Linked DNA regions of Caenorhabditis elegans. The protein of the gene in region 3 purifies or fractionates together with the protein of the main gene of each other region. This does not show direct contact. Each region holds a gene or a part of one and is shown on either strand. Other genes may lie near its edges. The genes, in order: arf-1, rskn-2, rfgp-1 and C30H6.8.

What was found.
Region 1: the proteins of rfgp-1 (region 3) and arf-1 fractionate together in Caenorhabditis elegans (co-fractionation; one large-scale study listed by BioGRID). This does not show direct contact.
Region 2: the proteins of rfgp-1 (region 3) and rskn-2 fractionate together in Caenorhabditis elegans (co-fractionation; one large-scale study listed by BioGRID). This does not show direct contact.
Region 4: the proteins of rfgp-1 (region 3) and C30H6.8 fractionate together in Caenorhabditis elegans (co-fractionation; one large-scale study listed by BioGRID). This does not show direct contact.

What each region holds. Positions count from the first base shown.
Region 1 is NC_003281.10:5,712,767-5,719,085, reverse strand, and holds arf-1 (ADP-ribosylation factor 1-like 2), read right to left. Parts: upstream 2,972-6,319; 5' UTR 2,971-2,971; coding exon 2,823-2,970; intron 2,750-2,822; coding exon 2,639-2,749; intron 2,540-2,638; coding exon 2,331-2,539; intron 2,246-2,330; coding exon 2,168-2,245; 3' UTR 1,542-2,167; downstream 1-1,541. Other genes in the region: rbm-26 (C3H1-type domain-containing protein), read right to left, coding at 4,938-4,970, 5,017-5,154, 5,208-5,339, 5,386-6,319. UniProt on the Caenorhabditis elegans protein: Small GTPase involved in protein trafficking between different compartments. Modulates vesicle budding and uncoating within the Golgi complex. In its GTP-bound form, triggers the recruitment of coatomer proteins to the Golgi membrane.
Region 2 is NC_003279.8:8,011,205-8,021,498, reverse strand, and holds rskn-2 (Ribosomal protein S6 kinase), read right to left. Parts: upstream 7,090-10,294; 5' UTR 7,032-7,089; coding exon 6,867-7,031; intron 6,597-6,866; coding exon 6,199-6,596; intron 5,819-6,198; coding exon 5,672-5,818; intron 5,628-5,671; coding exon 5,321-5,627; intron 5,216-5,320; coding exon 5,043-5,215; intron 4,919-5,042; coding exon 4,687-4,918; intron 4,628-4,686; coding exon 4,538-4,627; intron 4,366-4,537; coding exon 4,244-4,365; intron 3,716-4,243; coding exon 3,607-3,715; intron 3,361-3,606; coding exon 3,081-3,360; intron 3,030-3,080; coding exon 2,882-3,029; intron 2,579-2,881; coding exon 2,428-2,578; 3' UTR 1,919-2,427; downstream 1-1,918. Other genes in the region: C54G4.7 (AB hydrolase-1 domain-containing protein), read right to left, coding at 140-318, 368-455, 524-645; dod-18 (Nucleotide PPase), read left to right, coding at 632-697, 745-879, 1,099-1,202, 1,246-1,398, 1,669-1,804. UniProt on the Caenorhabditis elegans protein: Serine/threonine kinase that may play a role in mediating the mitogen- and stress-induced effects on transcription. May repress transcription via phosphorylation of 'Ser-1' of histone H2A. May phosphorylate histone H3.
Region 3 is NC_003279.8:8,523,558-8,531,271, forward strand, and holds rfgp-1 (ADP-ribosylation factor GTPase-activating protein 1), read right to left. Parts: upstream 5,715-7,714; coding exon 5,655-5,714; intron 5,603-5,654; coding exon 5,493-5,602; intron 5,447-5,492; coding exon 5,275-5,446; intron 5,227-5,274; coding exon 5,024-5,226; intron 4,426-5,023; coding exon 4,326-4,425; intron 4,281-4,325; coding exon 4,179-4,280; intron 4,127-4,178; coding exon 3,996-4,126; intron 3,945-3,995; coding exon 3,811-3,944; intron 3,762-3,810; coding exon 3,684-3,761; intron 3,627-3,683; coding exon 3,445-3,626; 3' UTR 3,201-3,444; downstream 1-3,200. Other genes in the region: tnsl-1 (Tonsoku-like protein), read right to left, coding at 1-195, 244-380, 844-1,018, 1,069-1,182, 1,395-1,539, 1,589-1,781, 1,828-1,948, 2,003-2,147 and 4 more; zhp-3 (Zip homologous protein 3), read right to left, coding at 5,920-5,978, 6,151-6,314, 6,363-6,505, 6,784-6,855, 6,896-7,151, 7,200-7,381, 7,428-7,618, 7,661-7,714.
Region 4 is NC_003282.8:17,379,153-17,384,943, reverse strand, and holds C30H6.8 (protein-disulfide reductase), read right to left. Parts: upstream 2,616-5,791; coding exon 2,460-2,615; intron 2,384-2,459; coding exon 2,166-2,383; intron 2,117-2,165; coding exon 1,954-2,116; 3' UTR 1,865-1,953; downstream 1-1,864. Other genes in the region: C30H6.12 (BESS domain-containing protein), read right to left, coding at 651-698, 1,469-1,508; dlat-2 (2-oxoacid dehydrogenase acyltransferase catalytic domain-containing protein), read right to left, coding at 2,797-2,953, 3,040-3,177, 3,413-3,633, 3,678-3,815, 3,861-3,965, 4,011-4,209, 4,254-4,309; C30H6.9 (Altered inheritance of mitochondria protein 36, mitochondrial), read left to right, coding at 4,775-4,895, 4,946-5,024, 5,070-5,253, 5,323-5,538; haf-1 (HAlF transporter (PGP related)), read right to left, coding at 5,699-5,791.

The DNA.
Region 1 (6,319 bases), on a different chromosome or scaffold from region 3:
TGAAAAGTTTGGTTACCATGTGCTTCAAAAGTTAACACTGAACTTCTAAGGCAGTAGGCGGTTGGCAGACACGTAAGCATCTCTGAACGAGACCAAAACTTGTATGCATTATGAAACACAAAGCTCACAATTCGTCTAAGTGTCTGAAATACGCAGGCCTTATCAATCTTTAAAAATTGCATTTCATATCATTTTTGCTTCGAATATGAAAAATTAGTCAACAAAATTGAGCATATTGAAAAAAGTGCAGGAATTATTGGCTGGGAAATATCCAAAACATGTAGAAAAGGATCGATGAAACGAACAAAAAAATACTTTATAAAACTTATCGATTCAAAAAATCTAAATGTGACAACTGCGAACCCTGTCTGGTGATGAATGCGTTCACTCAACGGGAGGTTAATCCGTCCCTATAATCATATAAACGGTGTGTATAGGGGGGTATTCTGCTACTGCTGACTGGCTGGTTCTATTCATCGTTTCACAACCAATGAGCATTAGTGACGTAATGCTACCAGTCATCCACGTAATATTTCCACAAGATGGGACCATTTGGAGGATATTACATGCTTATGATGAGTTGCACAACTATAATTACTGTACTAGAATTGAATTCCTCAAGTTTAGTTCAAGGAGACAAAATATTCGTTTATTATCCATATTGTATTTTATTTTAGTTTTTCAGTAAATGAATATATTTGGTCTAAAATTAAAAAAAAAAAAGAAGCCGCCGAAATTTTGGTATTTTTTTGTGTTATAGGTACGCCAGAGAATAAAGATCCTGATTTCAATAATTGTAACAAAATATTTGTGCAATTCAGCTATCATGTTTTATTCGTTATAAAAACTTGAGATTGTTAACGTAACTTCCCCTTTTATTCAAATTTTGCTTGAATAGTTGCTCAGTCAGCAGAGATAGTATTAGGGTACAGTAAGTATATAATTGGATTACTGTAGTTCCATTAATTGTGCAATTTAGGTGATTTGGAGAGGTTATGAATTGGAATACGTCTGGGAATAGTATCAGGGTACATTAGAAGCACTGTAGGATTACTGTATTTTCAGTGTATTACGTGAACACTGAGAATGCGCATTGAGCAACATGTTCGACGCGCAAAATATCTCGTAGCGAAAACTACAGTAATTCTCTAAATGACTACTGTTGCGCTTGTGTCGATTTACGGGCTCGATTTTAGAACATAATTTATTTTCGAATTGTGACCGAAATATTTGAATTTCATCCTATTTTTCTTTTTTCTGTCATTCCGAGTCAAAAAGTGAAAAAGAACAAAGCAAAATCAGACCATGGCTACAGTAGTAATGTAAATAATTTCTGTATTTTTCGCTACGTGATATCTGTGCGCCAGACAAGTTGCACAATACGAAATTCCAGAATTTAGTTTTTCCGTATTAAAAATTTTTGCACATAGTATAACGCCTCATGTGTTAATAAATTACCCTTAAAAATTAACATTTCTTGTCCAAATTGAGGAAAAAGATCATTTTCATACTTTCATATTGTCATTATCAACAGGTGAATATAACATAATAATTTACTCCACGACAAAAAAAATGGTGAATATGATACTATAATACGGAAAAATTGAGGAAAAGCAAAACAGTGTTCGATACGAAATAGAAGAGAAGCGAAATTAAAGGTTCGAGGGGAAGGGAACGATGAAAACGAGATTTGTGTGTAGGTTTGTGTGCAATTACGCGCAAAAATCACAAAAATAGAATAATGGTTCAACAAGAGAAGAGAAACACGTTCATACTTCTTCTCGTTACACAACACTGTTTCAGGGAATATTTGAGGGAGATGGAGGGCGGAGCAGGTCAAAAATGGAGAGAAAAACAATGAATAACTTACATATTATTCCCGTCAGGAGCGGTTCCAAATGTAATCGGATAAGAAAAAATGTCGGATTTGGAAGTTAAGAAGAAATAGACGACAAATGAATTGGGGCTTTAAATAAAAATTGGGTTGAAAAAGTAGAAGAGGGCGATGGTGATCAAATTAAAAAGCCTAAGGGATGGGAGAGGGAATTTCAAATGGAACAGAGAAGAACAAAGAGAATGAATGGGGAGAAGAAAGGAGTTGAAACGAATAACAAAAACGGATGATTCGTAGTCGTTTATTCGTCGAAGGTGGATTCAGAAAAATGATTTAAGATCTATTCTTGAGCTGGTTGCTGAGCCAATCGAGTCCTTCATAGAGACCATCTCCTGATGTCGCACATGTGGCCTGGAATTAATTTATTATTGAAAAATAGTGAATTTCTTTAGTTTTAAAATATCAGATGAGAAACTGCTGATTAAAAATATCTCACCTGAATATACCACGATCGATTTCTGAGCGAGTGGAGCCCGAGCTTGTCAGTGACCTCAGCGGCGTTCATGGCTTGTGGAAGATCTTGTTTGTTGGCGAAGACCAGAAGAACGGCATCACGAAGCTCATCCTCGGCGAGCATACGCATCAGCTCTTCACGAGCCTCTCCAACACGTTCACGATCGTTGGAATCAACAACAAAGATAAGTCCTGCAAGAAAATATAATCAATAGAGCATTTTTTTTGGACAGTCTGTGAATTCTTGCGGGTGATAAGCTGATCCGCAAACTATTCTCGTAAATCACTAACCTTGTGTGTTCTGGAAATAATGCCTCCAGAGTGGACGGATCTTGTCCTGACCTCCGACATCCCACACGGTGAATGAAATGTTCTTGTATTCGACAGTCTCCACGTTGAATCCTGAAATATGAATAAAAATTATGACTCATTGTGAACCGTTCTTTCGCAACAAAAAAACGTCCCAATGACTCACCAATAGTTGGGATAGTCGTGACAATCTCGCCCAGCTTCAACTTGTACAAAATCGTAGTCTTTCCGGCAGCATCCAATCCAACCATCAGAATACGCATCTCCCGTTTGCCGAAGAGGCCTTTAAATAAGCTGCCGAACACGTTTCCCATTCTATAAATTGATTAATAAATTAAATTATTGAATTTCAGAAGAGGAACCGATGGAAGTGAAAAGGAACGCTAATAAAATGTGAAAGCTGAATCAATAATCTTCGTGGGAAATTGCGAAAAATTCGGGAAGATTTCAAATCCAATACGTGAAAATGCCAGCAACGACAATCGGAGAAAAAAGTACGGAAGACGATTGGAAGGAGGAAGAATCGGGTAAAACGTGGCAAGGAGATGGATATCTATAACAGGCGCAAGGAGCGAGAATCCAGCAGAAATACATCGGCTACACCGTCCAACGTGTCACTAGCACAGCAGTCTCTGGCGACCAGTGGAGTGTCTCTTCCTCTCTCAACCTCTCGACGCTGCTTTTTGTCTTGTTCGCTGGGCGCGTCGCGTGCGTTGCGCAGCGGTCGAATAAGAGGAGATAGATGGCAATAAGTGAAGAGACCGAGACGTGAAAGTACCGCAAGAGATGAGGAGAGAGCGAAAAAGAACAAGAGACCGTCCAAATTTGTCCGCTAGTGCAGGACGGAAGGATGAAGAACACATACACACAGGAACGAGAATAGTAATGTTCGAGTTCCTTCTACTGACTCCACGTCAGCCGTACGTTGAATCTTTCAATCCTTCAGTGAAATCTTGATTGATTGATTGAATGAACCCGAAAGTTCTAAAATTTGAACTTTGAAACAAACTTTTTCGAGTGATAAGACGATAAACTGCAACATTAAGAAAGTGATGAAAAATGCTTTTTGAGAGAAGAAAAACCTATTGAACGCGAGCGCATTGTTGAGAAATTTTGAAAATCGTGACGCAATTAAAAACTCTGAAAAAAGGACACGTGTCACAAGAGTGCAGCACGAGATACTGTGACTAATAAATAGAATCAGATGAGAAAATTAATATTAAATCAAATACAAAGCGCCAAACTTTCTAAATAGATGACCCGCATTTCCGACTAAAGCAATGTGGCGCTTCTGAAGAATGTGCTGGAGAAAAATGAAAGCTTAATAGAAACCGGCCGCCGCAGACAGTATAGATCAATGCCTTTGCGCCAATCTAGGATAGTTCATCTTTCCGCCTTTCAAAATGCCGAGAATTTCTTACTTTCTGCAGTAATTATTAGGAGTCACAAACCTTGATTTTCGAGCTTTTTGCGTTCAAATTCGGAAATAAATGAAATGACGATCAAATCAAAGATAAAATGTGACGATTGCAACGTCGAAGCAAGAAAAATTGGAGGAATAAAGTTAAGAAAGAACAAAGAAAAAAAAAATTAAAATCATTTATTTTCTGGCAATTCACGGCTAAATACGACGAAAACACACCGGTTTCCGCAAAAATACCTGTGTTTTATTGAAAATTAACTCGTTTTTTACTCGTCACTCGGGAGGGGCTCTTTTTGTACTCGTTCACTTTTCAGTGGCCCGTCTTTTATTCTTTCGCTGATTTTTTTTCGAGATCACAGCCATTATGTATTCTTTTACTTTATTTTTCTCATTTAGTGGAGTTATTGCTCTCTTTTGCTCTTTTTTGCTGGCTTTTTCATCAATGAGATATATCGATAGAAATAATGCAAACAACAAAAATGAACGAAAAAATAATGGGAACTTGTCAAGGAATCAGGTAAAAATCAATAATCATTGCGATTCTGAACAGATCACATGACAAGTTCTTAGCCAAGAACAATAAAAAATGAAGATGAAAAAGTATTGCCAAATGGGCAGTTAAACTGAAGACAATTAAAGAATGATAAGAGAGGAAATGTGATAAATTATAATGGATATACAATAGAAAAAATCGAAACAGTTTCTGATAGGCAACAATAATAAACGGGAAGAAAAATTGAGGTAAATCTGAGGTTAAATAGGCTAACCAGCCAGATAACTAGAAAAGTAACCATTTGGAAACAACGAGTAAGATCACCAAGACAATATTTTGAGATCAAAGTTCTAATATAACTAGGACTAATCATTTAGCAGGTCATCTTCTTCGTCAGACTGAAATCTTTTTTTAAATTTAATTTTCAAGTGAAAACCAAGTTACCTCAAGATTGCTCGGAATTGCAGCGAGCAACTGGTCGGCAGACATGTTCGTATCAGTTGAAGGGATCTCCTCGATTCGCTCCGTCTTCAATTCCATCTCGAGGTCCACACCATTCAGAACTTTGCCATCCGCCATTGCCTAAAAATTAACATCTTATTTAAAATCGAGTCCCGTTTAAACTGAAAACTCACTTTCAACGCATCACCTGTTTTTCTAAACGGAAAAACGGCTGTTATGAGACCATCGTCGTCGGCTTTAACACTGTGATCAAAAACCTCACCGAACTTCTCCATATGTGCCATCAAATCAGTGACCAATTCATCCTGGAAATAATGTGTTTTTAAAATCTACAATTTAAAGAAAACTCACTGTTACACCTCGAACGATGACAACACTGCTCATTTTAGATTGGGGCTCGTCTCCATCGCTTCCTGCTTTTCGCTTCCGGGTCGAATCGTCCGATTTTTGTGGATTTTTAAGCTCTTCAATTTGGGCTGCAATCTCATCAACCACCATTGACTTTTCTGATATTTTGAGCAGGATTCCGTCGACTTCTTCCTTGCATGCCTTTATTTTTTTATGCAGATGTTTGACCAATTTGGTTGCATTCTTCTTATCAGTTTCATCAGTAGACGTTCTCGCCTTGATGAGCAACTCCTTCTGTTTAACCATCCACTTGTCAAGAATAATATTATGCTGATTCTGAGCCTGAACTAGCGTCGATAAAATACTCTTCTCTTTCGTTAATCGTTCTTTAGCATCCTGGATCTGCTTCCGATAGTTTTGAGCAGCAACACTGACAAATTTTGATTCTTGCACTGTGGCAATCTTCGGCTTTTCGACAGGTTTTGGTGGAGAAGTTGGAGATGACGGCTTTCCAGTTGCGTTTTCGGATCCTTCGCCTCCAGGATTATGCCAAAATACTTTAATAAACCTATTATTGAGAACTGGAGTTGGAGACTTGTAAGCTTTGCCAGCGTCAAATTTGGAAGCATAAGTAACCAGAGCTGAATCGATTTCTCCATTATATCTAACTTGGATATTATCGACAGTTCCAAATGTGGCAAAATGTTCATTGAGCTTTGCGATCGTGTTCATCTCTGGTGGAATCTTGGCAACTTGAAGAGTACAGTTATCTCTATTGATCGCTCCAGTGAAACCTCCACGGGCAAATCCACCACGACCTCTAATGTTTCCTCTTCCACGTGGTGCTCCACGGAAAGAACCCGGCTGAGTAACAACTCCTTGAGCAGCGGCGGGTGGTGGCTGAGAGTAAGAAGAAACAGATTGGGGAACATATTGT
Region 2 (10,294 bases), 510 kb from region 3:
TTTGTTAAATGCAAAAAGGTGTGCGCCTTTAAAGGAAACTGTAAGTTAAAAACTCTGCAGCGAGTTTTAAAGTACAAAAAAATTTGTCGTGCCGAGACCAGGTACCGTATTTTTTAAAATAAATTTTCAATTTTCTTACCTAAAATAAGAGTGATCTCCGGTGCCTGCCAAATGTATGCATACGGGGCCTGGTTTCTGAGGAAGATATGCTCTGAAATGTGCTCGACCGACGTTTCCTGGCATATGATTGGGAAAGAGAGTGGCATGAGGACTTGCGAAAAATCCCTCGTATGAAGTTACGCCATTTTTTGAATATTTCTGAGAATTATTTATTATTGAAAAATGTTTTTGAGAAATTAAAATTTACCTTCACAATGTCGATTTTGGGATTAAGTTCTTTCACATAATCCATCACAAGCCTCTTTGACATGACATCTCTGCGATATTTTGCCATTCTAAAATAATAATAACAATAATTAATTATCTATTAGTTTCTCAATTTCTCAATTAAAACAAAACGTACTGTTTAATTACATCCGGATGTCCCCAACTTTTTGTGAATAATTGACTGAGCACAAGAGCCGATCGAAATTTCAGATCCACGTGTTTCGCCCACGACGGCAAGTTCGGAATGAAAGAAGCCATTATTGTATTGGCAAGTCAGTCACCAAATCGACTCAAATTGTTGCAGCAAATTGTGAGAAAATGAGAATCTACAAAAAGAAAGATTTATTTCGGTTTCAGGGATTGGAAAATGTAATCGTAAAAGTTTCAAATTTCGAGGAAAATCTACCAAAAACATTGCCAGTTAAGCAGTTTGTCATTGAAACAGCTAAAGGAAAATTGACGACTATTGTGGAAGAAATGAAAAGAAAAGAGGTATAGTTATTTTTTCAGTAACTTGAGAATATAGTTATTAGTTGAAAAACAAATCGGAATTCAACAAAAAAAATACGGCAACATTTCTCGACGCGACCTAAAACTTTTTGCGCAAAATTTCAGAGTGCTGCAGCATATCGAGACCTGCTACCATATTTTTAAAATCTAAAATTGAAATTATAAAAACTGAGATATTATATTAATATATGAATTATTAAGGAGCCGTACTCTGTTATTATTGCGTGTGATACAGTAATCGAATTCAATGGAGAAATTATTGGAAAACCAACAGATGCCAATGACGCTAAAGAAACTTTGAAAAGGTAATTAAATTTTCAACATCATAATTGTATAAATTAATTTCAGACTTCGTAACAATACTCATAATGTATATACTGGAATGGCTCTACACTATCATGAAACTGATCAATATGAAGAGATCATCGAGAAAACAATTGTTCATTTTGGAGATATTCCTGATAGAGTTATCGACGAATATGTAAAAAGCGGAGAGCCATTGTTAGTTTTTTTTAGCAAAAAAAAGTTATGGAAATATTTATTGATTGAAAGTTATCAAAATTTTTGGAATTGAATTTCTTATCTAAAGTCATAAAAATGAAAGAAAAATTGGCGGTCAAGAAATTTTGAACATTTTATGAGTATTTGAAAGAGCTGCAAAACTTGAGGGATTTTTAAAATTTTCATCACGTTTTTCATCATTTTCATCACGACATTTGAAAACTCCAATAAAAAAACACGAATAACTGACCTAGTAAATCGAAATTTCAGGAAAAAAGCAGGTTCATATGGAATCGGTGACTTTGGCGCTGTCTTCGTTCGTGGAATCGAAGGATGTATGCCGAATGTGGTTGGTTTGCCACTTCACCGTCTTCACCAAGCTCTTATCGCTAAAAATATTCTCTAAAATGCTTTCACTTCCATATTTTATTTTCTCACATTACATCAGGTTTTCACGTTGATGCTTCAATCGATATTATGATTCGGAGCTTTCAAACCTTCTCCAAAATAAATATGTAAAACGAATTACTTAATTTTATTAATCTTTCAAAAAGTCGATTGGCAAGTCAATCATGCTCATCGCAAAACATGGAAGAATTTCTGGAAATGGTTCAAGAGTTCAGGGAGTCACTGGAGACAATGAAAAGATTACATGGGGATAGGTGGATGAATAAAGATATGTGTATCTAACAAAATGATTATAAAAAATTAGAAATTTACATGAGACTAGATATAATAACATAAAATGAAATGCACGAATCACAATATTTTTCAAAATTGGTAGAGGATTGACTAGAAATGCGAAATATCTAACAAATGACAATCACTACAGGTTCAATGAACATTTCAGCAACTGTACTCATAGAGAAGGCAATGCCACAAGTGTCAGGTGACGGAAAATTTGTAAAATAGTGAGAATAATGAGAGAGTACAGACTAGAAAGCATCTAGGACGAAAGAATCACAACGCAAACAGTGAGAGAAACAGGAACAGAAAGGAAGAAAAATTAAAAGAAACAAAGAAAAAGGTCTAGGAGGAGTCTGAGCCACGAGTTTCTCGGATTGTTCCAGAATTTGGTTCTCGATAGTTCATCATTCCCAAATTGCTTGGACGGGATGTTGATGATGTCATCTCTGCTTCTTGTTCTTCCGGAAGACACTCGAATTGGGTAACTCGCGAACTGGAAAATGACATAAATTGTTGAAAATGAAAGTATATTTTCAGAAACGAAAATGTTCACAATGCGATCAAAATTAGAAGTATCATATTTTTTTAGAAAATAATTATTATTAATAATTTCATAAATATAATATTTGAATAGACGTTCTAAATAGTATAAAATAAGGAATTTACAATTATTTGCAAACTTAAAAACTAAAAAATAAAATTTTAGAGAAATGTCGTCAAATGTGGTGTTTCTTGTGCACTTTGAAACCGTACCCCAAATTGGAGGAGTTTCAAATATTAGGGTTCTTGAACTCACTTTTTCGAGTTTCCAGAAGCATCCTTGTCCCCAGATTGTCTTTTGATTCCGCGTCGTTTCATGAGAGGAGCAGCAGCAACATCGAGAAGATGGAATCCATCACGATTAGCGTGGAGGAATGCGCGCAGTGTCTCATTGAATGTTTCATCTGAAAAGTCAAAAGATTAGGTTATTCAATTTTCAATAACATCAGTTTAACTACCTGCTGATGATGGCAGAATACTAGGAGTTTGAAGTGGTGTATCCATTGAAGCCGAAGACTTGAGCCACATATGAGCTGTAAGCTCTTGCATTGAAAGACGTTTCTTTGGATCCACAGTAAGAAGACCGGTTATTAAATTCTTAGCATCTGCTGACACGTTTGTCCATGCGTCTCCTGTGAATGAGAATTCTGCTCTACAAATTCTCTGCATTATTTCAGTTGCCGATTCTTGACGAGAACGTGCATGGAATGGAACTTGACCCGATAGCATTGTGAACTGAAAAATTTATTCGTAGAAAATGTGCCACACAATTTAAAATATTTCTTATGAATTTCTAATAACCAGGGTTCTCAATGCGTCCAAAAAATTTTTCACGATGTGGTACTGTAGTTGCATGCTTCCATTTCGTGATTTTTATCGATTATCAATCGTTTCTTAAATTTGAGGGGTCTTTTTGTTTTTTCTCAAAATTTTTACTTCGATTTTTGAAACATTAAATTATTACAAAATTATACAACTAACCAGTACAACTCCAAGTGACCATAAATCACATTGTTCGTTGTATTCTGGTTGAGAATCTCCAACATCTAAAACTTCTGGAGCAGCATACTGTAGTGTGAAGCAGGGGGTCCTGTAATTATGATTGAAGAATTTCATAGTGAGAGTTAGGCAAATATATAGAAGCTATTAGTGAAAACAAACGTTATTCAAAGATGAATTGGGCATTCTCTAACTCTCAAGTTTACAGAAAATTTGAGAAACTTAATGTGAGTGTTTGTGAATTGTTAGTAAACAGCTTTGTCTTGAAAATCAAGTGAGAGTCAGAGAATGAGTGTGTTTCTTCAAAAATCTCTGAAATCAAGAAAGAAACCCTTAGTAGAGATAAGTGAAAAGAAAGGTTTAAAAGGATAGAAAAAGAAGATAATCTGTAACAAGAATGCACGAAACATCACACACCACCGTCTTCCTCTCTACCAAAAGTAACTTTTTTCGAACATTTGTTCTTTTAAATTTTCAGCTTGAGACACATGCTCCCAGTTAAGAAAAAAAAACAAAAATATGCCCAATAATGAGTGAAAAAAGACAAAACACAATAACTTTTGACTAGACTAAATGTTACTCCGAGTGGAGTGAATGATTGTGTGCGATGAGACCGTACATCTTGCGCAGAACTTGAACAGACTTCAGTTGTTGTTCCATTGAATTTGGAAGTAGACGTGCAAATCCAAAATCGACTAGACGAAGGCGGGCACTTGAATCGATACTTTCAAATAGAATATTCTGGAATAAGAATAACTGTGCCCGTTTTTTTAAAAATTGCGTCATAATTTTCTAACTACTCGAGTATACTCCACCTTTAATTATTAATTTGTTTCACTTTTTGGAAGTATTTTATTCTTATGTTTTGTATTATTTTGCAGCCACTTAACATAATCTGATCATTGAAACTCACCTCTGGTTTCAAATCTCGATGAACAATTCTTTTATCATGAAGATATTTCACAGCTGATACCAACTGCCGCATGATGTCTGCTGCTTCACTCTAAAAATTTAATTTTCAGAGTAACTCCGAATTAAAGAAATGCTTAAAAGAATTCTAACCTCTGTAAATCGTTCCAATTTTCGAATTCTCTCGAGCAGCTCATTTCCAGTCAGAATCTCCATGACGAGATAAAAATGAAGAGGATCCGAATGTACATCATGAAGTTGAACAATATTCGGATGTCCTTGAACCATTTCAAGAATTCGTGCTTCACGTTGAGCCTGACTTGCGAACTTTTGTGATACGATTTTGACTGCAAACTGGGCTCCGTCAACTACGCGTTCGCATCGTCTGAATTTGTATATTTTATCTTTAAAACTATGTAAAAATAACGTTTTGTTGAACTTTTTCGAGATTTTCGAATCTAGAAAATAGTTCCAGCACATGAAATGTTGATGAAAATATAAAAATTTACCTGACCACCGAAAAAGCTCCTTTTCCTAAAAGACCAGCGTCCGACTTGTCTAGTTTGTACTTGGCAAAAAATGAAGAACTCGCGAGAAGTGCATTGACATCTTCAGCCATTAGTTCTTCACCGATAACATTGTCATTGGCAAATATAACAGATGGGGAGACATATGAGTATCCCTGTAATCACATAATTTCTTCTGGAAATTTATTTTTGTCAAACATATTTCGGAATTCGGCTCAAAATCCGGCAATCGGTGCCTGCCAAGTTAAGAAAAAACTCACTCTAAACAGAGTATTAGCATTTAATGGTGACTCTGCAGGAGAATATAATGGTGGCTGAGAAGTGAATTCAGCTGAGAAGAACTGTGTATCCAAATCATGTCCAATTCTTGGAACAATCACTGGCTTCAATGTACGCTTAACAGCTGCATCCCAGTCAATACTTGACATAAATTTATGATTTTTAATTTCATCAACTCCATTGTATCCGAGACGTTTTTCAAGTTTCTTTTCCAACAATTGGCCGATGAAATCGCGAGCATCAACATCCATAGTTTTTGGGAAAGGGACCTTCTTTGTCATAATTCGTCTAAAACTCGAAGAAATTATAAAGAAAATGAGGAAATGATTTACTTGGCAATATCTTTACTAGAGTTTTGTGCTCCATCTACAGTAAATGGTGAGCATCCAGTGAGCAATTCAAATGAAATTACACCCAAAGACCACCAATCGACAACATCACTGTATCCTCCTTCAGGGCGATTGATTACTTCTGGCGACCTGGAATCATTAAACTTGAGAATTTATTTCTTATCTATTCAGAAATTACTTTTACACAGCCGTCTGTGCCAATTTTCGTTTGTAAAGAATTATATGAAAATCTCAATGAAAAAATTCAATAGCTCAATAATCAAATATCAATGATCAATAATTTTCAACAAAAAATGATACCTTTTAATATACAACCAAAAAGTAGCAATTACCCAGTTTTTGTTAATCCTAATTTTGGAACTACATCAAAAACTACGAATTGTATATTCTAATCATGTTTAAATTATTGACATGCAAATAATTCTGAGGTTTGATAAGTTCTTTTTTTTTTTAATTCCAAATACGTTTGGCAGTGTGCCTAAACTTTGGCTGGAAATTTCAAAACTCACATATATTCAATAGTTCCACAATATGAATTGGCTCTATCCAACTCTCCGGGTAGAAACAATTTACTTAATCCAAAATCTGTCAACTTAACGTGTCCTTCTTCGTCCAATAAAATATTCTCAAGCTTCAAATCTCGATAAATAACTTTTCTTTGATGAAGACTATCAATTGCAACCACAAGTTCAGCAATTACAAATCTAGCAGCTTCTAAATCAAAATGACCTCTCGAGCAAAGATGTGTGAATAATTCTCCTCCTCTCACATATTCCATTACAATGTGCAATTTGGTATCAGTTTGGAAAGCATAGAACAAATTGACAAGAAATGGTGTTCCACGTAGACGTTCAAGTACTTGACGCTCTGCCATTGTGTGCTCCAGGGTTTTTTGTTTTGTGAGCACCTGCAATCAAATTTGTTTTTTTTTCGTTTCATATTAAAATACTAATCTATAAACTTTATTTCACCTCACTTTCCCATCTCTCAAAAATTTTTCAATCCAGTTATTTGTTTCGAAAAGTTCAAAACCATTTCAAGAATATGAATTCCGGCAATTGTCGGTTTTTTCGCTCTTGGCGAGAGATGAAAAAACAAATAATAATACAAAGGTTCAGCACCGTATAAATGAGAAATTATTATTTTTAAATTCATTTCTTTTCCAAAAATAACTCACTCTGGTCTTTCTCAACACTTTCATAGCATATATAGTATTATGATCCTTTCCACCAACTTTTCGCACAAGGAATACTTTTCCATATGCTCCTTTTCCAAGAACTCTGAGGAGAGCAAAGTTCTCCATGGAAACTTTCTCTCCTTCAGGCATCAATATATCTTCCATTTTTTCTATATATGTATGCCTTCTGCCTATTTTTTGTGTTCTTCGGGTTTAATCACCTGAAAAATAAAAATTGCACGAAATGAGGTTTTGCAAATATGCACGTAGGCATAACAAGGTTATAAGTGAAATCGACTGAGCAGAAGAGAATAGAGTGAAAACAAAATATTGAAAAAACAAACTCAATTTTTGCAGATCTAATAATTTACATATTAGTTTTCAAAACTAAATCTAGTAGTTGTTTAATTTTCCAAAAAAAAAGTAATTTTGCATTCTTCTGAAATTCGAACTTAAAGGAGCTTGTCAAAATATTTTCAATCTTTAAAAGATTAATCTAAATAAATCCATGAAAACTTCGAAATTATGACAATATTTTCAAATTTATTCATGTTTAGAGGATGACTCACAAATTGGCTAACTATAAGAGTTCTAATAACTGAGTATCAAGAGAATGATGACAAATAATAGAATTTCACAAGACAAAGTCATTAGGAAGATCTTGAGTTTTAAGTTTTGAGATCTTAGGCTTTAATAAAAGAAATCAGAAGATTATACAAAATTTGGAATGAAGACTGCGAAAAAAAGAGACATGGAAAAACAGAAATTATCACATGAATCTTGCAGAAAAGGAAATGAAAACGAGAAATCCATTACCGCTTGGAAGGTTGAGAACAAGAAGGAGAGGAAGAAAAAGAAGAAGCACAGCACAAAAAAGAGGACAACATAGCAAACAGAATAAAAAACAAAATGAAAAGTCTTCTAGAGAAAGAAAGATTTGTTGACCAACTCTATTCACCTCCGATCATTTTCAGAAATCCCCTTTCCCTTTTCTCTCCATCCAACAATATTCTGAAAACTTGAAGAAGTTGTGAGCTCAGGCTTTCCTGCCAAGAGAGCACAAGTGGTGTGGTGTCATGAGCCATAAGCAAGAAGAAGGAAGATGAAGAAGGAAAGAGAAAGAGACAACGATGCAAAAGTGAAAATATGCCATGTGTTTTGCGTGTGTGCTTCGTTTTTTCTTCCTTTCTTTTGTTGCATTTGCTGCCGTGGCTCCGGTGAGCAAGAGCAGAATCAAATGGAACACAAGAACACAACAAGCAGAAGTTAGAGGAATGAGAAGAGTGAGAAGTAAGAGAAATGGAAGATATAAACAGGAAATATCAAAACAACACTTCTACTGCTTCTAGGTACCTAGATTTGGGGAATTCGTCTAACGAAGAGAAAACTAACCAAGCTAATCAACAAAATATTAACGAGAGGAATGATGGGGCCTGTATAAATTTAGTTTCTAGCGATAAATATTAAGAATAAATATCTTGAAGCTTTTAAAATAACCTAAATTAATCACTTCTGCTTTTAAAGAAACTCAAATCAATTAGAAATAAACATTTTGCAAAAAAACCAGTGATACACTAAACATCAAACGAAATATGAAAGAAAAGTTCACTGGCCAGAAATTAAAACTAGGAATTTCAAATCTTAATACTTGAAACTGAAAAGCTCAAAATGAAAACAAGTTCATTAGTTGTTTTCATCGGAATTTTTTCAGAAAAGTAATACATTTATCTTTTAATGTTTTGTATTTTTCAAAATATTTTCGAATCTATTTTAAAATATTCACCAAAATTAGTTTTATTTTTTAAAAGGGTGTAATGGTTCCGCCCACATCTTGGTTGTTTTGCCGTTTTGCACCCACGATGGAAAAGTGAATAGAAAAAATTCTTCATACTATTTTTTAGAGTTAAAATCAAGTTTGCATTCGACTTGTGTTTTTGCTAGTCAATGAAAATTCTGCATCTGACAGCATAATTTAAAAGTTTTCTAGAGTTCACACACAAATCATATTTAAAAATATTTGATTACTTTCCGAACCCCAGGAGCAAAAGTTATAGGAACATTTATGAAAAACGTTGGACACAGCTTGTCACAATAATTGTTTTTTTTGCTATAACTATAATTATCATCACGAAAAAAGAGTAAAAGACCACAGAGAACACAAAGTTGGTCACAAAAGTAAAATGACCTCAAATGAAAAATGCAGATGGGCGAGAAAGGGTCGAATTTACATTTGCATGTGTATTTGGACTGCCAACTTAAAGTTTATGCATTCTACGTAATCAAGTTTCAGAAATTAATGGGATTATGATTAGAAAATGACATTTGCAATTATAGAGATCAATTTAATATGAATGAATTAACTGAAAGTGCAAAAATTCTGCAAAAACTAGAGTGAAATTAGTAATTCATCTGGAAGGAAAAAAACGATAGTTATTTTGTTGAAATTAGATTTTAGGATGAAAAATAAATTTTTTGTTCAAATGAGAGATGAAGAATTGATCCAAACGTGTTGCTGAAAATAGAACATTTAAAATTTGTCGAACCTGATATTTAGGGTGTGCGGAAAATCTACAAAATTGCTGATTTCTCTGCAATAAGCAAACTTATGAAAGCAAAAGCAATTTGAAAAATTCGAAAACTCTCTGGAAATAATCCTAAATTTTGTTTGAAATAGAGCCCAACTACCGAAACTTGCCAAAACTTTGACCCATTTTTTCAGCAGTGACTAACTTTCAGTCTTTAGATACTTTTAAAAAAATTCAATCAAAACAAGAATTGTGTTCAAATTGACTAAATATTATTCTACATTATATTAATTTTTTATCTAAAACAACCATATCGAAAAGAGAACATTTGCCGTACAACCCTCTTTTTGAAGAGACACTATCAAAGATCAGAGACCATTTTAGATAACACTAATTAAGTTCAAACGGAATTTTACATGGGAAAGAATCACAAATATTTTATAAGAATCAAAAAAAAAAGAACATTTTTAATAATTTTTTGATATAGCCTATGCAATGTGTTGTTTGTGTGTGTGTGGTGTGTGTCGTCGTCGGTTTTTCCCCGCTTCAATGGCATTGAAGAGAGAAACGAAAAGAAAAAGAATAGTGAGAGATTAATGGTTTATAGTAGAGACTCAGACACATTTTTTGGAGAAATGAAATATAAAGATTAGAGAAATGAGTGAAAAAGCAGGATCAGTAATTACGATTGAGCACAAAAAAGGATTTTGAAAAATCAAGTGTTTGGGAAATGTGATTATTATGGCAGAACAAGAACAAAATAATAATAATATTATTCATGAATTATAGACCAAGGTCACAACAAATCATGAATCATACAAGTTCCTACAAGCTTCTGATTTTGGAAAATATATGCCCGCAAACTAGAAAACTACTATTTGAAAATTTGTATCTATCAAAAAA
Region 3 (7,714 bases):
TAGAGGTGTCAATCGAGAATGGTTCAGTTCAGTCGAAGAATTTTGTGATTCTTCTGACATAAATGATTCTGCACTTCTAGCGTTCACTTCTGCACCATATCGTAACAATACTAGAACATTTCCGTATTGATTGTGAGCTACTGCTTCCGAAAGAGGTGTCCAACCACCATTATCTTTTGCATTGACTTTACAACCCTAAAATAATGGAAATTTATCACGATTTTTAAACAAAATTCCACTTACACGTCTACACAGACGCTCTATAACCGCTTCATTTTCAGATTTCATTGCTGCTTGATGTAAAACTGTTTCTCCTTTATCATTCGTTTTGTTCAACTGATGTTCCGTTAGAAGATCCAATTTGAGTAGTTCATTCTCTTCTGAAATCAGGCAAAATTCGACATTTTTCAAACGGCCAAAATTTCAGAAAAAATCAATTTAAAAACTTCGTACATTAAAGGTGACCTATCATTCGACAAAAACGTAAAACCAAGATATGGGCGGAGCCAGTGTTCAAATTTTCTTTTGATGAAGTTTCTTAAAATATCAATTTTTGAAATTTTGGAAACTTTATGGGAACTTCTAGTAACTCTGGAAGTATTTTAATGCTCTTTGAAATTTTTAGACAGTTCTGATATTTGTACTTCTAGTATTTTCTAGACTTTTTAAATGTTTTCTAAACTACAGTAAACCTACAGTAATACTACAGTATCCCGTCTGTATCTTATTATTTATAACGCGATGTATTTATCGAAAAGGCTCCGTCTAAATCTTGGTTCCTTTTTGCATTTTTCTTTAAATTTTCTTGTACTTTTTCGAACTTTGTGAACTTTGTGTATATACCTTTGCATCTCTCTAACACATCTTCATCTGAAAGTTTCCAGTATAAGACATCAGTTTCATCATCCTCATTCTTAATCACAACTTCTGGAATATTATCAGTTTCTTGTTTCCATTTTATCGCGTTTTCCTCGTTCCGCTTATCCGACCAGTAGTTGGCCCAATTCTCGTAGAGCTCCTGAACAAATTAAAATTAAAATAGGATGTTATATAGAGATTATAACATACACGTTTGGTGTCTAATCGAAGGATTTTCCCATTGAGTTCATTAAACATTGGTTCCAAATCCGTAAAGTCTAGCTTGCACATACAACCGAATATTGAAACTCGAGTATCGAGAATCTGAAAATAATCGATAATAAATTTTAAATTTTAAGATTTTAATTATGGTAGTTGAATGAACCAGAGCTGACCTTTTCTTTTGGTTTTCTGGGAACAAAATTGTAATTTAAACCTTTTTTATGTTAGGTTTATCCGAAAGTTAACCATGAAATTTTTTTTCACAAAATTCTATTTTTTTTTAACTTTGCATTTAAATTCAATATTTTTCAAACCTTTTCTTCTGTAGCCCCAGTTTTCATGAGAAGTTCCAATAGATTCTTAAACATTTCCAAAGATTTTGAATGTTCATCTAAATCACTGTAAACCAAAGCCATTCCCTGATATGCACGAAGAGCATCTTCGTCGTTCCGTTTGAATCTACAAAAATAAGCTCTAAAATAAAATATTTAAAATAAATTCCACTTACTCTAACATTTTCTGATAACTCATCAAAATATTGTCTCTTACAAATTGCCGATATTCTTTCTTCTCTTTCGCCATTAAAGTTTGGAAATATTGATCATAAAGATCTCCGATTGCTTCGTAGAGTTGACATTTTGATAATTTAGGCTCCATTTGTGGATTTTTTCGAATTTTGTTATACTTCACCAGTCGATAAACTGTAAAATAAAGTAATAAAGATACGGGAGAACTTCAAAAACTGACTAATGCAAATTCTTTTGACAGTATCCTCAAGCTCATGAGCTGGAAATCTAGCTTCATGAAAAAAGTAAGCTTCTGCGAGCGACTTGTAAGCTTTGTCAAGACGGTTTGCAAGGAGATATTGCTGAAAACATATATATATATTATGCATATAATTATATTCAGCTGGAAAGTTTACATGAGAAAGTTCACATAAAGTCTGAGCTTTTTTATCTTCTGATGCGTCATCGTCCATTAATTCAGCGATATCTACTCGTTGATTCACAGGAGCAATACTACATTTAGTACGGAGCATCTCGAATCTCATAGATTTATCATTTACTCTGAAAATTCCGAAAAATATAATAATTTATGTAGAATAAAAAACTAACCTTAATAATCCTTCAGTTTTGTCCAACAATTGCATTGCTCTCGCATTATTTCCTATTTGATTTTGTAGCTGAGCTTCCAGTGTGAACTGAAAAATATTGAATTTAATTTTTCTTCGGAACTGATTTTTCTAACTAACCAGCTGAGCTTTTCGAACTTTCGGTGCTCCACCAGGCTCACTTTCTTTAAACGATGATTTGTATAAATCCACAAGTTCTCTAGCCTTTTTTGTCAATTCAATTGCTCGTTCAATATCAGTTCGTTCAGCTTCTCCATTCAAAAATAATTGTTGTAGACACCATGCTTCAACATGATACGATAGTTGTTCCTGAGATCGACTTCCACATTCTTTTGCCAATTTTCGGAACGAGACAATGTGTTGAAGACATGATTCTCTGTTACCTAGTTCCGCATAAATTTCACTTAATGTACGTTCACAAAGACTGCCTTCGAAGTATTTTCGGTGTTCACGTGCGAGTTTTGAACCTGTAATAAAGAAAATGAGCAGTGATTGACTTTTTTACATTAAAATAATCCCTGCAAAGTTTAATCCAGAAAATTGCATTTTTAAATATCGATGTCAAGAATCGCGGCAACTTTCAGCAACAAGCAGAATTTTGGAATTTGCAGGATTCAACAATTTTAGGTTCAAAATTCAGAAATCTCACCTTCTTCACAAAGAGAAATTGCAGATTCCAAATCTCCAATTTGCTTGAGCTCATGAGCTGCTTCATTAAACTTGTCGACTGCGTCACTGAACTTTCCGTTTCTCATACATTTTCGAGCTAAAAGCTCCGTTCATTTTATTTTCTAAATTTGAACAAATCTTCTGCTTACCTTCTTTTTCTTTTTTGTTTTTTACAGATGACATCTGGAAATGAAACAGGAACATTGAAACGGGACAGAAAAGTTTTAAAGAAAAACTCAACAAAATATATAAACTGAAACTCACAAAAACAACAACCAAAACCAAACAACAATAACCACATATTAATATTTCAAATCTTCGAGTTTTTCGCATTTTTATTTCAAAAAGTGATCTCACCAAACGATAAATTGGCAATTGGCCGGTATTTTCTAGAAACATTTTTAAAGAAAAATTAAATCACAGGAAACATTTCTGATGGCTAGAAAGGAAAGGAATTTCGGTAAAGAAAGAGAGTGGAAAAACAGAAATAAGTTATTTAAAAAAGAGAAAAGGGGACAGAAAATACAGAAATTTGGGAATTTGTTTGTTGAAAAAGAAAATTCCTATTGATTGAGAAGATCCCATGCATCATCATCCCATCCTTTTGCTTTTTCTTCTTTCTTTTTTGGAGGTGCGGCGGCTACTGGAGCCAAACGTGGAGCTGTTGTCTTTGGTTTGTTGAATGAAGACTCGAATTGAGTAATTGTTGAAGAAGAATCATCATCCTCTACATTTTCTGCGGTTACTGAAAATTTCGACAATCAACAATATTATTAAAATTCCTTTTTGAAATGAACTATACCTTTTTCTTTGCTTTGCACTGGCTTGACACTTCTCTCCTTTTTCTTTTTTGTCTCTACCGGTTCCGTTGGTTTCAATTCTGAAAATCAAAAGTAAAAATAGGAAAAAATCTACTTGATTCAAAATACCTTCATTGCTCAAATGATCTCCACCTTCAGTTGTTCCACGTGGCAAATTAGATTGTTTTAGCCAGTCGTTGAACTCATTTTGCGACGATGAGCCGGACATTCCACCTCCGCCACCACCAAAGTCTTCGTAACCACTGTAAGATTTAAAAAATAATGATTATGGCGGAAATATTTTTTAAAATTACGTTTTAGCGAGAATACCAGAGAAGGCATTGAGAGAAGGTGATTTTACGAATGAAGATAATCCATCCCAGGATTTAGTTCCAACTTCTGATGCTTTGTTCGCGACACCACCAAATAGTGAATTGTTTTGAGACTGAAATTTACTTTTTTTAAAATTAATTTCTGACTTTTTGATAAAATCCTACCACATTCTCGCTTAACTGTGACGCTTTCTGCTGAGCTTGAATTCCAACGTCTTTTGCCATCGCTGCAGCTTGAGAAGCTCCTTTTGAAAGCATAGACCAGCCCTGTAGAACAACTATTTTAAAATTGTTAATCTAGGTTAAATCTACCATTGAAAGACCAGACATTGCTCCAGCAAGCAAATCATCTCCACTATTTGACTGATTCGGTACATATCCAGTATTTCCGAATCCTTGATATTTGCTGTTTCTGAAAAAAAAACAATTCTGTGGAACTGTAAGAAAACTTAATTTTTGAAGTCTGTAATTTCTGAAAACTGAAAACGTGAGGTTAAAAATTTATTTCCATGTTTGGAGAGATACTTTCATACAATTAAAGAAGCAACCGTTTCTCAAATTAGCGAACGGGACTTTAAAAATTCCAATTATCACCCTTCATTGCATGATATCTTTTTTTTCAAACGTTGCGGCCGCTGCGACACAGACAGGCTGACAAAACTTGAGTTTTTAGTTGAATCTTTTTTTCAACTTGAAAATATGTATTTATTAAAAAAATTTAACCAAAATATTTTTTTAATTTTCAGGACGTCTTTCTACGAAACGTCGTTTTCGAACTTTTTAAGTCTGATAGAAAAGTGTCCCATATTTCGTTGCTTCATCTTTAATTATAGGAAAGTATATTTTCAGACATGAAAATAAATTTTCAAATCTCTGAAAATATGTTTATTTCAAAGCTTTCATCCGACATTACATTTTTTCAGGAATTTTCAAAATTTTTAATCACAAAATTCAGTCGTTTTAGGGAATTTTGAAATATTCTTCCACCTTTAATTGTTTCAAAAACTTACGAATCTTGGGTAGAATATGCCCCATCGCCTGTGGATTGTGAATAACTTGAATTTCCACCATAATAAGAACCAAGAGACGAGTTCCCTGAAGACTTATTAGTTGGTTTGGATTGAGAAGACATTCCTCCAAGTGTTGGTGGAACATAGTTTGCTGCTGGAGATGTTGATTGTGACCATTCACGGCCTTCAGCTTCACAGGCTACCTTTAATACATTTTTTATTAAATTTTCAATCAATTAACAAAGACATACTTTATCTCTAAATAAAGCAGCAGCTCGTGAATTATATTTCTCTTGAATCGTCCATTTCTCCTTATAATCTGGCTGTGACTGCAAGAACTCGGCAAACTTTCTATTGCCTCCGGCCTTCATTTTTGCTAATTCAATGTCTTTCCATTTGTCCATAGTCACAGAGCGTACGAAACTGAACAACAAAAATTGAAAATTCAGCGAGAACTGTGGAAACCTACCTCAAATGTACGCCCAAACTACGGTGAATCCCCGAGCATTCGAGACAAATCCATATTCCATACGATACGGACACCCATTGAGGATTATTGGCTTCGCATTCGAAACAGAACTGAATGAAATAGATTTAAATGTGTTAATAACATTTGTGATATCAGACTTACGTTATTATCATCACACGGCCGAAGTTCTTTCAGCACTCTTCGGGTCCGTGGACTTGCCATCTTAAAAGTTTCAAAAATTTTAAGGTAAAGAGGGTTTAAACACGAAATATTCAAATAAAATTTAAATCAGATGTGAACTAGGTAGAGAAAAAGAAATTTGGAATTTTTAACCCAATTTTTATGAAATAAACATTAAAGTTGAATTGTACATGATGTATATATCAACAAATAAAGAACGAATTCAGAAAAAAACGAGATTAAAACATTAATCGGCGGGTCCAATGAAGCTCCGACCATTGATCGGTTTCCTTTGTGCGAGGTATCCTGAAAACGTCAGAGTACACGTGGCAAAAATCGAAAGAATTGGAATATAGAGGGAGCGGAAAGGCGCAAAAAGCGCCCGGAATGAGAGAGTGAGAGACGAAAAAAGTGTGTAAGTGTGTTAGTTGATGAGAGGGTCGAGGGAAATTGAGGAATAAAAGAGTGAATGACAGACCGGGTTGAGATGAGATTCGACGCATTTCTTGTATCTGCTGACGGTCGAATCCAGCTGCACTTCGACGATTTTGTGCTATTGGAGTAATTCGTGAATTCTGTTTGAAATGATGAACACGTATCGCAGAACCGCCTCCTGTGGGCAGCGAAGAATCTCTTTTAGAACTGGAAAATTATGAATTAGGAATCACAGATACTTTGAAAATATCTCACATATCATGCACTCCAAATGAATTCGCTCTATTTTGCCTCCAATTTTCCAGTGACATACTAGTTTTGTCCATGATTGTCTGATTTGCCGTAGTTTTGTTTATCATCGAACTATCTCCCATATTATTACGCGATGGGGTGAATATCTGTAAAAATTTAAGTCATATTAAGAACTGTGCTTGAAAATGTTTAAAAATTTATAAAAAAGATCTTCCGTTGCGGGGAATCGAACCCCGGCCTTATGGGTGAGAGCCATAAATCCTAACCACTAGACCACAACGGAGCGTGCTTTTGAGTAGCCAAGAGAAACATTACCACTTTGAAGATACGGCAAGGGGTGGACGAATGTTACAACAAGAATTGTCTACGCAAAAAGTGTGTTGAACCACTTTCTGAGAGCCGGTGTATACTAATAACAACTTACATTATTGAAGGCCACACTGAAAGCTGATGATTCTGACGTGTTTGCATTAGCTGACTGTCCACTGCTCTGCAACTAGAATATATGGACAATCTTTTTATCAAATAATTGTTACCATTGTATTGAACATAGCTTCTTCGTTTAATGATTCTGGTCTAGTGCGGCTGCCATTTTCGAAAAACGAATTATAATTAATGGAATTTGGTGATGAAGCTGGAGAGCTAACTAGCGGTGAGACCATATTAAATGTTGAATTTGCAGACGATTCGACAAGAGATGGTGCCGTTTCTTGTGATTCAGCAAGACTGAATGGAAATGGAGTTTGAGAGTTCATTCCAAGAGTGTCGGCGGACATTAAATTTGTCATAGATCTGAAATTCAATGTTTGAAAGAACGAAATAAAAACAAAATTTACCAACTTCAATTTTGCTTGACACTCTTCAATTTCTCTCTCAGCTTTTACCCGTTCTTCTTCACTTGCTTGCAATTTCTTTTCTGCCATTTGAATCCACGCGGTCGCCTCCGCTAGCTTCTTCCTTTGTGAATCGAATTCCTGCCCTTTCGTTCGAAAATATACCTCCATTTGTCGTTTTTTCTCTTTCTAGAACCAAATTTATGAATTCTTCCTAGCTGATTGTAGCTCAAACCTCCTTAGTCAAATATTTGACAAGATGATCTCTTGTGCTCTGTTGGAAATCTATTTTCTTTTGTATTTTCGCCAATGAATCTGCCACCATTTTTATAGGGTCAGCAAAATATATTTTGATTCCTGAGCTTATGTTTCCATCCAATCGAACAAGTCTCACATTTTTCTTACAAATCAAACAGACAGCAAGATCTAAAGTTCATCGTTTTCAAGATTTTAAACTAATTTTCGTACCTGCTTTCGCGCATTTCGTACAAAAAATGTGAAAACATGAAGAGATGAAGAATC
Region 4 (5,791 bases), on a different chromosome or scaffold from region 3:
CTTGACCAGTACTTAATCGAACCTTATGGGATGCTGTGAAAAGGTTAAAAAGACGTTACTTTATAAAGTAAAAAGCTTTAAGGACATGTGTCAACTTTTTTCAATAAGTTTCAATTTAATCAAATTTAATGTTTGTGTGTTAGGAAGGAATTTTTTCAAATAGTTTTCGAATATATGTATTATTCAAGAGTAAATTGGGGTTTTTTTTTGACTAACTACTTTTAATTTTAATACAATACATAAGAAATGTAAAAAAAAGCTAATGGGAGACTCATGAGTTAATCAGAGATAGTTTGTACAGGGTAAAATTGGATACTTGATAATTGGAGCTAGTTTCGAAATACTTCAGTTTTCGAAATACTTCATTTTTGCACACACTTATCAACAATATCATGTGAGTGAGAGTCCTGACTGATTTTTAGCGAATTTCACGAATTGAAATGAGTAAAGAGTGTGCGTCAATTTTTACTCTAGGGATATTGTACGACGTGAGTTTGTGTATAATAGGTGAAGTTTGTAGCGTATGGGGAACCAAAAAACAAATGACATTGTCGATTCAACGGGAACAATACGAAAACAAAGTTATCAATATTTGAAATAAATGATGAGAAAATACGAAACTGAATATATACCAAATGAAGGGGACTAACCAGAATGTATGAAGTCGCTTTGTCGTCGTGTTTCGGAAGGATGAATAACTGTAAAGTTGATATTACAAAGATCTCCTATTATTTGTGGCATTTTTGTTTTAATGATTTAGAAAATGGTCATCAGGGAGATTCTTCTATTTTAATTTTGTTTCTCTTTTGTGGTGTTCCAGAGTATATCAATGTTCCAGTGTTTTGAAGTGAAATCACCACTAACCTAGCTCCTCTTTCATGTTTTTTTCCAAATTTGGGTTCTTCCAGAAAATTTCATGTATTGTTTTCCAAGCCGTTTTGAAAAGTTTCGAAATACTTAACAAAATATTAACTTATTCCGAAAAATTGAATTTTGATTCAAAGTCATAGATTTGATGCCGCGACACTAAGGATTCAATGTTTTATAGACATGAGAGGGTACGGTAGATTTTCTTGTTTTATTCCAATTTTTGATCACTTAAAAGTGTTGAATATTAGAAGATCGGTTGTTTTTATGAAAGAATTATTTTATGCCAGAAATATTATAAGTACAAGAAGTTGAATGAAAAACGTCAAAGAAATGTGATAGGATCCTCCAAAAGTTGTTCAATAAGTGCAACTCTATCAATTCATTGTCTACATTTTGTGCATTCGATACTTTCTGCTAAAATGACAGTTCCATAAAATGTGAAATTTAGCACAACAGTCTCCGCCCATATCTTAAATTCTTGCATTTTTGCATTAAAAATACATATACTTATTATGTATCTGCCATACGTCCTCTCATATTTTTATTACCACAAACTAAGATTTTGAAATAAAAATAGCAATTTTAGAAGTTAACCCACCGCTCTCCTCCATTTCAATAATGTCTTTTGCCATCAACATTAGAACATCAGACTATACGAAAAAATGAGACGAAGCCAAACAAAACCGCGTACTTTTCCTTTCAATATTTTTTTTGCCCGACTGCTTCTCTAATCAGTTAGAGGGGAAAGAGATGGAATCCCATAGCAACCACACACCGCCTTGCCCATTTTTAGTGCTTTTCTCGTTTCATTATCATTATTTTCGTTGTCGTGTAGGTTCAGACTCTCTATTTCTGATGCTGTTGTTCAGTGAGCGGAATGGGAGAGAATAACAGGATGTATATGGGGAATATATGTGAGAATTTTCGAGAATGCATTTTTTGTATTTAGTGTTCGTCTGGAAAATATTGGTGAGAAAAAGAACAAATTGTAATGGAAATTATTTACTTAAAAGAACCCATAATCAATGTTTTCTCTACTAAAATGTACATAATATTCAAGTCTAGTTGAGTCATCTGTGTAAATCACTGATTCAACAATTTCTTCCATTCCTCCATAGTCTTCACAGGATCCGCCTTGATTCCAGCTTCTACGTCAGCACGGACACGATCATGAACGACATCTCCATTGGAGTTAACGAGTTTCAGAACCGGTATCACCACTGCTTTGTACTTTTCCGATAGCTTTCTGAAAAATTATAATTTTTTTCAGTATAAATTTTGGAAATTTCTCTCACTGAATATTTTCATCTCCAAATGGAATATATGGCCAGTCTGGAAGATTCTTCTCATAGTATTCTTCTTGGTGGGCTGCTTCTTTGTCCTTCGACACCCATACGATTTCCAGATTCTTTCCAGCATCCGATTCTTTTACAGCATTGTAGAATTTCTTGATCTTTGGAGTCAGAAATTTGCAGGATCCACACCATCCAGCTGAGAAGTAGACAACTACTGTCTGAAATTCTTTTTTTTTCAATTTTTGAAAATAAATTTTGCAACGTAAATAGGTGATTTAAATTATTCAGTCCTACCTTATTTTCGAAATAATCTTTTGGTAGATTTCCATCAACTCCACGCTTCTTCATTGGAACCGATGACAAAAAGTGTGCATTTCGGATACTTGCGAACTTTGTGAAGTTGCCAGAAGCTGAGCGAAGAAATGATGAACCAAGAAGTGAAGGGGACATCTTGAAAATAATCGAAAATTGTGGAAGAAAATGTTGGACGACGCGATATTTTTAGGGCGATTCACGCGGAAAGTGTTTTCAAATTTCGAATTGCATTCAAATTAAAAATTCGACTTCATTTTATCTAATATTAGAGTACATCGGTGCTATGAAGAGTATGAGAATCCTGTCTAATTCGAAACTACAATAAACGCGAAAAATCAAAATCGAGTTCTGGAGAAAGTGGTTCAGCAATGAGCAATTCCGGATCAGAAAGCGATTCGGAGAAGTGAAGAAGGAATCGTTTTGCACATTCTTCGGAGATTGCTCGTCCGTCGAAACAAAGATTGACACCCATTCTAGAAAAAAATACATATTAATCTGATGGGATTATTTAATTTTGATGGCAGAGATTTTTTTTAATTTCCTAGGTATCAGTCCTTACAATTTTTGTGTCTCCAATTGTCCATCAACAGATACAACTTCAGAACGAGTTCCTCCGATCGTCAAAATGGCACATTGCGGTGGATTTATGATGGCTGTGAAGTTGGTCACACTTCCGAACATTCCAAGATTCGAAATTCTGAAATTTTCTAATTTTTGTATCATTTCGGGATGATAGCTTTTAAATTTGCATGATTATCATGTGATTTCTTTATCAATTCTTCTCTCTTACGAGAAATTAGAACAGAAACATAAAAAACTTCAAAGATCTCTAGAAGTTGTTTGATGTGGATACATTTTTTGAACGTTGTGAACGTTTCAATAATTTCTGTAATTATATTTGAAGTAACCGAAACAAATAGAATAAATCTCACGTAAAAGATCCTCCCTGGAACTGTTGTGGTTTTAATTTGCTTTCTCGCGCCAATCCCGACAACTCCTTCACTTTGCTAGAAATCGCCAAAACGCCCAAAATATCAGAATTCTCTACAATTGGAGTGATAAGGCCGGTTGGAGTAGCCACAGCGACCGAAATATCGACTGATCCGAGACCGATTCCTTCTGGAGTCCATCGAACATTTACTGTCGGCACGGACTGAAATAGAGCTCTCATTTACGAAGAAATTTTGAAAAGCCTACCCTCAGTGCAAGGGCTGCGGCTTTTATGATAAAGTCGTTGAGCGAAACAGCAGTTCCGGATTTTTTCAATTTCTGTCTCAACGCCAGAATATCGTCAATTCGAACGTCAACACCTTGATATTCGTGAGGAATTTGCTGCTGAAATAAAATATTTTCTCCAATAATAACATTTCGAATTTTTACTTTAGAAGCTGTCAATCGTTTTGCGATTGTTGCTCGAATATTGCTGAGAGGAATATCTTGGTGATGACGGAGACTGCGATTGTTGGCGCCGAAAATGTCTGATTTCTGCAAAACAAAACAATATGTAATTTTTGAAACATTTTTCCAAACCTTTTCAATAGATTTATTTTCAATATGTGTTTCTTTTGGAGCATGTGCATGATGAGCCACCGGCTTCAGCTTTTCAGCTTCAACTATTTTCATAACATCGCCTTTCAGAATATTTTTGTTTTTTGGGCCTGTTCCATCAATTTTTCGATTTTCCAGACCATATTGAATCAGAAGAAGCTTGACTGCAGGACCGCAAGCTCTGGAAAATACTATTAAATAGAAAAATCTATTTTACACACTTACCCTTGGTTTTGTGCAGCAGTAGAAAGGTGGCGAAGAGCCTGACTACCGGCTAGCATGATTACCCTGGAAGAAATATATCAATTGTTATTTTTACGATGCGTGTCATAACAGGAATAACGGAAATATTTAGCAAAGGAAGAAGAGGAATTGAAGGAAAAATCTGTTGAGCGGTGTGCAATGCAAGAGCGCTCTGCCGCACTTCTCTATTTATTTCTCCGTCAACGCCTCTTTCTCTTCGCTCAATTGCATTTTTTTGCATTTAAAATAAATATTTACTTAAATAAACTAATCTTTTTTTGAAAAAATTTAATAACGAAGTGTACTATTTAGCATAAAATTATGCATAATAAATGAAATAAAAAAGAAACCAATATTCACATTAAAAAAATTAATTGCCATGTTGTCCGAGAGGAAAACACGCGTTTTTCCACTCGAGACCAAGCTGCCTTCCATATAATTGTTCCTTTAAAATTTACAGTAATCCTTAACAGATTTTTGTTTTAAATCATTCGATTTTCAGCATGTTTTCCCGAGTTTTCTTCCGTTCTGTGCCACGACTACAAGGATGGACGCCGATTCGATTTAACTCTCAACAAGTGGACCCAGCAAAACTGAAAGCGTTTCAGGAAAGAATTGATAAAGGTAAGTAACCCAATTTTTAAAATGCCCAGATCCCAAACAATGTTTTTCAGCCAAAATACGCCGCGCTTATGCTCTCGGAGGTTGCCTCATGTTTATCTGGATTTCGACGCATGGAATTCTTCTTTACAAGTAAACTATTTTCGGAAAAAAATCTTCAAAATCAACTTCTTCCAGACGTCGAAGCGAACATCGAAATCTCAATGAAAAATTGCCACCGATTTCTTGGGAAAATTTTGAGCAAACATATCTAGCGACTGGCGACGTCAAAACTATCATTTTTCAACCACACTTTGAGACAGCGAATGTATATTTAAATTCCGCCAGAGAACAACAGATGAAGAAGAGTTTTGTTGATTTAGTAAGTTATATTTAAACTACATGTTACAAAATTCCCCTATACTTTTCATGTAAATTATTACATTTTCAGGTTCATACAACTCCCGACAAATTTTCTCGCCCTCCAGATGTCCGATTCTATTTGGAAGCTTCATCAGAAGATGTTCAATCTTTAGTGGCCGCTGCTTCACAAAAATACAAGCACCACGTCGACTTTGAGATTGATCAATTTCCCAGCTACCGGGAGCTGTCTTTCATCGTAGGATCCTCACTCTTTGTTCTGGCGGCTATTTCCATGGCAAAATAATTTTTTTACTTTGATTAGTGTAGGATTAGTATTTGAAACCTTTCAACTTGTCATGTTTCGTGTTTTCGGGTCTAAAACTGGCCGATTTGCAATATATAAGTTTTTTTTATTTGTGCACATGTTCAACTGTTAAACACTAAATGAAAAAGTCTAAAAATTTCTAGAATTTTAATGAAAATCCGCGAGCCACAGGAGTATTTACTCTGCTCATCTGCTCATTCATCGGGATGCCTCGACGCCTTGCTTCTTGCTC